2 linked regions of the Arabidopsis thaliana genome follow. The protein of the gene in region 2 interacts with the protein of the main gene of each other region in a pairwise test. Each region holds a gene or a part of one and is shown on either strand. Other genes may lie near its edges.

Region 1 (4,469 bases), on a different chromosome or scaffold from region 2:
TGAGTCAACGTAGCTTACCCATTTTACACATCGTGAAGAGACGGTGACAGTATTAATAATTTTGTTGTATTAACTAATATAAAGTTCCCTAATATTTAGGGGTCCAAAGTGTGAAGGGAAAGGACGCACAAATTATTGTACTACATTATTAGTTTAACCAAAATCAAATATTATTTATATAGTATTCGCTTACTCTTCCAGTTGTTATCGCAAAATTTAAATCACGTGTGGGATCCACGGTCACTTCTTAAGACACCTGTGTTTTCGGTTTATTGAGTTCAATGACGCGACGGTTCCGTTGTCTATGGGATCGGACTGTTCTTGTTGCTTCAAGGCCTAACCTTTTCTTTCAGCTAATGTATTTCAAATTTGATTCCTAAATTCAAATTTGAATGTAAACGGGATACTTGTGCTTCTTCTACTCTAAAGCCATCATAGCTTTTTCATAAATGAGGACAAATTTACCCAAAACACCTCCTGTTACAAATTCGTATAAGTTTGATACTATAATTTTTTGTAAACAACTCGTAAGTCGTATATAAACCATTTAAACTTCGCTTGAAAAATCAGAGTAAGCTAGTCCAATTTAAACGATATTTAAGCACTAGAATCATAACGGAAAGATCTTTTTATATTGTTAGTGTAACTAAAAGATCTTCTTCTAGCGAAAATTATTATTTCCTTTTTATTTCTTGTATATTTACAAAACTCTGAAACCCGTTAGAGGCTTCACCAAGATTCAAGCATCAAAGCCACTATATATATATCACTCACACTTGTTAATTAATTATCAGTATTTGTTTCTTCATCATGATGAAACCATTTTCTCTAGTACTCGTTCTTGTCCTCTCATCATCTTTAGCAAGTGCAACCGCATCCTCCTTATTCTCGCCTCCACTTCCATTTTCGCTCTCTTCCATCTTCGGTGGGATTATCGGTAACAGTGATAATAGCGAGTTAGCTAGGATGTGTTTTCCAGACCTAGGAGACGGAGAAGCCTGCGTGGCGGAAATCTTCGGTTCATTCTTTAGTCCTCAAATTACGATAGGACCAGAATGTTGCAAGGCCATTGTTGAGATCGACGAAGACTGTGCTCAAGCCATTTTTAAACCACTCAGCAATTCTTTCTTTAGTAGTTCTGTCAAGCAGTATTGCACTTACATCAATAGTTGATTGAATTTTCTTTAGGTTTACTTTAGTGCTTGTTTTGTTTAATGTCTTTTATTTGTTTCTTGTTTTCTATGTTTTATCAACACTCAACAGTAACTTCATTTTAATAAGTTTAAACAAAATTTTGAATTGGAATAATATTTCACCGAAGGTGTTGGTACGTGTTCCATCAATCAATGAATAAAAAAAAATAAGCCAATAAAGGAAGAAAAGTTGAAGAATCAAATTCGCCTTTGCTGAAAGTTGACAAAGAATATTACTTTTCTTGGAGAGCAAGTGAGATAAAGAGAATTCACTAATACTCTACGTGTGCAAATACATATCTTGAATCTTCTATGGCTTTCATCAGTACACAATTTAAGATTTCGACTAAAAGAAAACCAAAATGTATTCGCTCACATCACTTTAAAATCATGTTTTCAATATCAAGTATATTAAATAATTCTTTTCAAACTATATGAGGTTACTGAAATGTTATGCACACAAAAGAAATAAAAAGACAAAACTATTCAAAAGAAATGACTAGTCATTAATACTCTCAGTAACAAAGAATTTTAAGAAAAGAAGCGAGAGAGAGAGACCTAGTAGTTTCAAGAATCTCCCCATAGAAGAAAAAGACAATCATTAAATATCTCGAATTCTGTGTGCGCCAATAATATTCTCCAAAGTCTAAACCATCAAACCGGTTATTATATACATATAAATTAGACTACCGTAATCAATTTCTACTTAGAGATCATCGAGAGGGCAAGAGAGAAAAATGGGAAAGGCACGTACGGTGGGAGTGGGAATGGACTATTCTCCGACGAGCAAATTAGCTCTCCGGTGGGCGGCGGAGAATCTCCTTGAAGACGGCGACACCGTCATCTTGATTCACGTCCAACCACAAAACGCCGATCATACCCGCAAAATCCTCTTCGAGGAAACCGGTTCACGTATTTAACTTACTACATCTCTTTAATATATATTAGTAGAGTTAACTCCATATTATGATCAAAATTTGTATTTTGATCATTTAAAAGTTACAAACTAATTATTGCAGCGCTAATTCCTTTGGAGGAATTTAGAGAGGTTAATTTGTCTAAACAGTATGGACTTGCTTACGATCCTGAGGTTCTTGATGTTCTTGATACTCTCTCTAGGGCTAAAAAGGTAAATGTTCACTTTCGTAATTCGTAATCTTACACAAGTTAACAACTATTGCTTTAATATCATTTTGATTTTCTTTCAAATAATGATGTTTAATTCATTGTAATATAAACTTTAAACAAAATTATAGGTGAAGGTTGTAGCAAAGGTGTATTGGGGAGATCCAAGGGAGAAACTTTGTGATGCTGTCGAAAATCTAAAACTCGATTCCATTGTTCTTGGCAGTCGAGGTTTGGGTTCTCTCAAAAGGTAAATTCTTATGCTTACTTACTATATATAGTCTAGTTTCGTTGGTTAAAAAATTTCGAATTTCAGTAAATTTAGGCAATATAGCTTCAAATAATTGAAACTGATTTGGCTTTTCTCAAATTAATTTTAGTATCACTTATTTCGTTATTCTGTGGTTAATCAAAAGGAGAATTGGAGTGATAATTAATAATTACGTTATCTGTGGGGTTTTTTGTTGTTGTTGTAGGATCTTGCTGGGTAGTGTGAGCAATCATGTGGTGACAAATGCAACATGTCCTGTCACAGTTGTTAAGGCTAATTAAAGTGTCTCTTGTTCTTTAATTGGACCCAGTTAATAACATTAGTAGTTACGTGTGTCACTCATGCATTGTTTTGACATTTATACGTTTGTTGCCTTCTACAAATTTGTGTGAAACTGATTGGTACTGTTTCATTAATAAATTTCAGTTAAATGATATTTACTCTCTTTTTGTTTGTGATTTGTGAACGTTACGTAAAAATCACAAAAAAAAATAATTAGTTTTTCTAATTCATTCATGAAAAATCTTCGTGGACTAAACAAAAAAGATGTGAAAAAACAATCCCCATGTTTGATCCAGATTAATTCGATCCGTTAATCAAAAGATGGTCTTAATGAGCATAATTCGGGGATAAAGTCGAATATAGAAATAGTTGTTGAAAAGAGAAATGTTTGGATTGAATCTTGTCAGCTTGATGTGTGGTTGATCACATGACCAATCTATGTATGGAATATGGATGTCGTGTGTGCTGATTCATTCAGATATGACAAGTGGTGGATGGGATAATTCACGATATGGGCCAGATTATGAGTTTGTTTTAACTTGAATGGCAGGCCGAATCATAATGGATTCATGATCATTATGTTTGATCATAGCCTAGTTGGACTTGTATCCCTAGATCATGATCAAAGTGGGCTTATAAACATGGCCGAGATGGGTAGTTCTAAATCAATTTGTTGGATCAGAAGAAATCAAGAAAGAGACAGTCGTTGGAGCTTTTCTGATCTGCTTTTGGATGATCACCCATTAGATTGAAAATTAAATTTTTCATTCTCCGCTCGATGGCTGATTTGTAAACTTGTTCCTTCATGATAGAAATTTATGGGCTAAATACAGAAAGTGAACGTTAGAATTTGGTTTTGGGTAGAAGAACAACTATCATATGATTAAAGATTAATCAGATGATCTAAAGATAGTTTTGGTGAGTACAGTTCGGAAATATAGCCGTTGATGCATGATGTGTGACTTTCAAAAATAGAAATAGCCGTTGGATTTAAATTTAAGGTCAATGAACAACTGTCAGATATGCTTAAAATTAATCTAATGATCCAAGAATGGTTTTGGTCAATACTTCGAGTATATATAGTTGCTGGTACGTGATATGTGACCTTGCTTCAAATATAAAACGAGCCGTTGAATTTTAAATTTGGGTGGATGAACAACGTACTGTCAGGTATGATGATTAAGATTAATTCAATGATCCAAAATCCAAATATTGTTTCGGTAGACGGTGGTACTTAATTAGTGAGACTTTCAAATATTAAAAAGAGATGTTGAATTTAAATTTTAGTTTGCTCAAAAGAAAAAGTTTCTAGTAAAAACAAAACAAATTATGTTTAATTAAGGTATGTAATATGGTTATGCATAAGACTAGTGTTGATGAGATGATTCACGATGTCGTATGGATTGGATTATGAGTATTCTTAAACTCGAATGGGTTGCCAAATCATAATGGCCTCATTAATTTATTGTACTAAACTGAATTATAATATATGTTCTTGAGCGAAAAAAATCCATAATTTATAATTTCCTATCTAGCTATATTGGATTGATCCGGCTGTTGACAATCTGGTCCTGATTTGAATCGGTTTCTCGAATCAT
Region 2 (4,819 bases):
AAGAAAACTCCTTCTTCGCTTCCAGCTTTACGTGGGAACTGGGAAGCATTGTGGTCACGGGAAGCGGCCAAATATTGGTTTGATCACTGATGAGTCTTGCTTTCAAGATGTAGATTTGTCAAATGAATAGACTACCGACTATAGTTTGGCTTGCTTCATGGGGTATGCAGATTGCAACTCACTGTTGTCTTTTCTCTACTTATGATGAAAACCAAAACCACTTCCTTGTGAATTGTGATTACTACAAGTTGATTAGACGATCCATGCAGACCCGACTCAGCCTCACAACCAATATGTTCTATATTTGAGACTCTCTTATTGTCTGAACAAATCTAGGTACACATATTCACCGCCCATCCTGCAAAAGCTAGTGGCTCAAGCCACTGTATATCACATATGGAAGGAAATGAGCAATATAATTCATTAGCAACAAGCAACTCCTGCTACAATAATCTTAATTAAAGACCATTGATATGTAGGCATATTCCATAATACAATTATCGCCAAAAAAGGACATGGAAGAAATTCATTAACCTAATGTGAATAACTAGGGTTGCTTCTTCGTCAAAAGATCCATGTGACCATTGTATTTTTTTTTCCATGTTTGGCAAAACACAAATATAGAAGGTTGACATTATGTAAAACCAAAACACTTCATTTTCTAATGATATTTACATTCATATCATATTATATAAGTAAACGTTGAATTTGTCCCTCAGTATTTGAATGCACCTAGCTAGGTTGGCTAAATGAATTTGAATTTTATGGTCAAACCAATGAACATAGGGGGAACTGGAGAAGTATAAGACGTATATGAACATACAGTATAGTATTTGCAACTTGTTTGAAACTGGAAAAAAGTATAATTAAGTTATTACGACAACTTATAAACATAATTAAGAAACAGAATTACACGCATGAAAAGTCGTAAAATGTCAACCTTCAAAGCTATAGTGCTGAATTAAGTGCTAACTAAGTATACTAATCAACCCTAAAAATTAATTAAGTCCTACCACGATCCTATAATTAATGTTCAATTTGCGGCATTTGGAACTTTATTCATTAGGATAACGCGTTGCATGACATAAAGAGTCAAATGAGATATTTTATTACTCATAGTTTAGTTATTTTCAGTGTATAGATTCGATTAATATCTTAATTAAGAGAGTAAATTGACAAAATCATAAAAATACAGTCTTCATCCTTGGATTTTGGCAGTACTTGTACTGGATCTTTAACGGAGAAATATTTAACGATAAATATTTCTTAGAATTTAAGAAGTGAAACGGATAATTTGGTTTATTTAAGAATAATGAATTGTGCAACGATGGGTGTATTTAGGAATAATGAATGTGTGCAACGATTGGTGTATTTAGGAATAATGATGCTGGTCATGTCTAGGGATTTGGGGTCTAACTAAAGCGAATGTAAATATGAGAAATTTTACATCTAAACAATATAATATGTATTGTAAATTTGTAATAAAATATTTTGTAAAATAACAAACATGATGTTTTTTTATCAATGAAATTGAATTTCGAAAACAAATTGCACTTGATTTTTTTACCAATACATAAAATCTAATTTAAAAATTCGGTGGCTCCAAAATTTGCATAATATTATGAATCCTAAGACTGTTTTTTCGATCAGTAGACATGGTCTAGTGACTAGAATGGATGTTAAACAACCGCACTCGGACTAATCTATGTTCATATCTATGCAAAATGTGGTTTCATTTCCGCCTTGGAAAATGAATAATTTTGACATAAACGGTGTCAGTTTAAAACACAAGCACGAGAACTAGTTCGATTATTAAATTGAGGAAACTGTTTTGTTCCGGTATTTTGTTCATATTTCCTGAAACCAATCCATATTTATAAGATATCTCTTTTTATCAACAATATACTTATGCGGATTTAAACACGGATAGTAATATTATGATGATGTTCTCCTCTCATAAAGATAGTTGATAATTACAAATATATTAGGAGATGCTCTATGTTTTAAAGTTTTTAAGTTATTGGGAAAAATTAACAATTCTAATATTGCGGCCGTTTATGCCTTTGTCCCACATGTTACAAATAAATCTTAAAAAAGAATTATCATCTATTTTGTTCATCTATAAAACCATCAACTTCTCCATCTTTTCCTGTGGATACAAACAACATCATCCATTATCTCTCTAAACATAACTCCAAAAAGTGACTCTTTTCATTTCAGAACTCACTCAAAGACAAGTACAAAGCTAAGTCTTGATTTTTTTCTTTGAATATCTCTTTGTGGGTCACTCTTCATCAATGGGTGACAAAGGAAGGAGCTTAAAGATCAACAAGAACATGGAGGAATTCACGAAAGTGGAAGAAGAAATGGACGTAAGGAGAGGTCCATGGACAGTTGAGGAAGATTTAGAGCTCATCAATTACATTGCTAGTCATGGTGAAGGTCGATGGAACTCTCTCGCTCGTTGCGCCGGTATGATACTCTAACATCTACTTACACATATACACACTTAGATTAATATAGGCATAGACGGTGTGTATAAATGTGCTCCTTGATTGAAAACAAATAAAAATAAGTAACAAACCATATATTATACACAAGTTGTTTCGATCTCCATATGTGTCTTTTTTAATTTACTCAGTGCGCCACTTTTTCTGTTAATCATATCTTTTTGTTTCGAAAGTTCTTTTTTTTTTTTTGGATAAAAGTTTGTTGTGAAAGTTCAAGAAATGGATTTTGCCTTGTATGCACACAAAAAAAAAAGGAAAAAACAAATCATGGGGATAAAACAAAAAGAGTGTCATGCTTTTGTGTTCCGTTCTCTCATTATTTTTCTTCTTTCTGAATTGTTAAAATTATCTATGATCATTCCTAATGAAATCGTGTTTTGCTATTCGGACTCAATTATTATAACTTTTAGGAAATGGATTCAATTATTTAACCCTCTAGGTTTTGAATAGAGTAACTCTATTCGTGTTGAAATAAATGAAATAATTGATCAACATCTATATGGGAAGAGCACTAACGCAATGGAAGAAAGTTTTCAGGAGACAAAGACCCTTTTTGAGAGTTTGCCTCATAGCAACGGTCCCTATAATTTCTAGAGTAAATTTGATAACTTTACCAAATATATATGATCATTATCATGAGTTTCTTGCGTATGAAATCATCATACAATATACGTGTACACGATGATGTCTAATTAAATAATAGTAACTTCCAATATAAAACAGAACTCAAAAGGACCGGAAAAAGCTGCAGACTTCGGTGGCTGAACTATCTCCGACCAGATGTGCGCCGTGGAAACATAACCCTCGAAGAACAACTCTTGATTCTTGAACTTCACACACGTTGGGGCAATAGGTACGTTTTTTAATTACGGTCATTTATACACTTTATTTTCTACTAACAAGATTTTGATCACAAAGATGGCTAAATATTATTGTACACGAATTAGTTCACATCTTTAGTCATCAATACATTTTATTTTCTGTTAACAAGAGTTTGAAAGATTGGTTTATTTGTACTAGTAATGAATTTGATCACAAGTTTTCTTCTTCTTGTGAGGACAGATGGTCTAAGATTGCACAATATTTACCAGGAAGAACGGATAACGAGATCAAAAACTATTGGAGAACACGTGTTCAAAAGCATGCAAAACAGCTTAAATGCGACGTGAACAGTCAACAATTTAAAGACACCATGAAGTATCTTTGGATGCCTCGGCTCGTAGAAAGGATCCAAGCCGCGTCCATCGGGTCTGTTTCCATGTCATCTTGCGTCACCACCTCCTCAGATCAGTTCGTGATCAACAACAACAACACCAACAACGTGGATAATTTGGCTTTAATGAGTAACCCTAATGGTTACATCACGCCGGATAATTCCAGCGTGGCAGTATCTCCTGTATCAGATTTGACGGAGTGTCAAGTGAGTAGTGAAGTGTGGAAGATTGGTCAGGATGAGAATTTGGTGGATCCAAAAATGACATCGCCGAATTATATGGATAATAGCAGTGGACTATTAAACGGAGATTTTACGAAGATGCAAGATCAAAGTGACCTTAATTGGTTTGAAAATATTAATGGGATGGTACCAAATTATTCGGACAGTTTTTGGAACATTGGAAATGATGAAGACTTCTGGCTCTTACAACAACATCAACAAGTCCACGACAATGGAAGCTTCTGAATAGACAAGAAGCTATTTTACAAAGTAAAGGGAAAATACAAAGCTTCTGAATTTAAAAGTGTGAAAGGAATTTGTTATAAACAAAGCTTTTTATTTGAAAAAAAAAAGAAGAAGAAGGTTTTGTTAAAATATTAGCAGCTTTAGACATATTGGAGAGTTTAGGAAATAGTTATTTTTGTAGTAAATTTGATTGCTATTTTGGGATTGTGATACTATATTAATGCTGATAATTTCTAAATTCAGAATCAAATTAATAACAAATCATTTTTTTGGGGAGGATAATTTATTTGAAAGACGATTACACACTAATTAAAAGTGATTTTCTTCATGGAATCATGCTATATAAACAACACTCTATTTATTATAAATGAATTTTCCAAAGCAACCATAATTGGTTCCACGACCAAGTTTCATACTATAATTAATTAAAACTGTATATGTCACACAAGCAGACAAAACATAACATATTAAAAATTTTATCTAATGACTTTAGCATGATAAAATAAGAAGAAGAAAATGGATAATCCGATTCATGATGCTTTTAGGAAACATGTCTATGGGACCTGTATATGGGAAAAAGGGGACCGAAGTGTGTGAAAGGCTTTGGGTTCAAAAGTAGACAATCCAA

Evidence for each region.
Region 1: the proteins of MYB78 (region 2) and AT3G03270 interact in a two-hybrid assay, tested with the Arabidopsis thaliana proteins (one large-scale study listed by BioGRID).

Annotation. Positions count from the first base shown.
Region 1 is NC_003074.8:760,537-765,005, reverse strand, and holds AT3G03270 (Adenine nucleotide alpha hydrolases-like superfamily protein), read left to right. Parts: upstream 1-1,890; 5' UTR 1,891-1,930; coding exon 1,931-2,105; intron 2,106-2,212; coding exon 2,213-2,322; intron 2,323-2,449; coding exon 2,450-2,568; intron 2,569-2,794; coding exon of another isoform or gene 2,795-2,870; exon of another isoform or gene 2,871-3,421; coding exon 3,422-3,623; 3' UTR 3,624-3,872; downstream 3,873-4,469. Other genes in the region: AT3G03272 (prolamin-like protein (DUF1278)), read left to right, coding at 811-1,173.
Region 2 is NC_003076.8:20,136,863-20,141,681, reverse strand, and holds MYB78 (myb domain protein 78), read left to right. Parts: upstream 1-2,152; 5' UTR 2,153-2,297; coding exon 2,298-2,472; intron 2,473-3,233; coding exon 3,234-3,363; intron 3,364-3,530; coding exon 3,531-4,191; 3' UTR 4,192-4,286; downstream 4,287-4,819.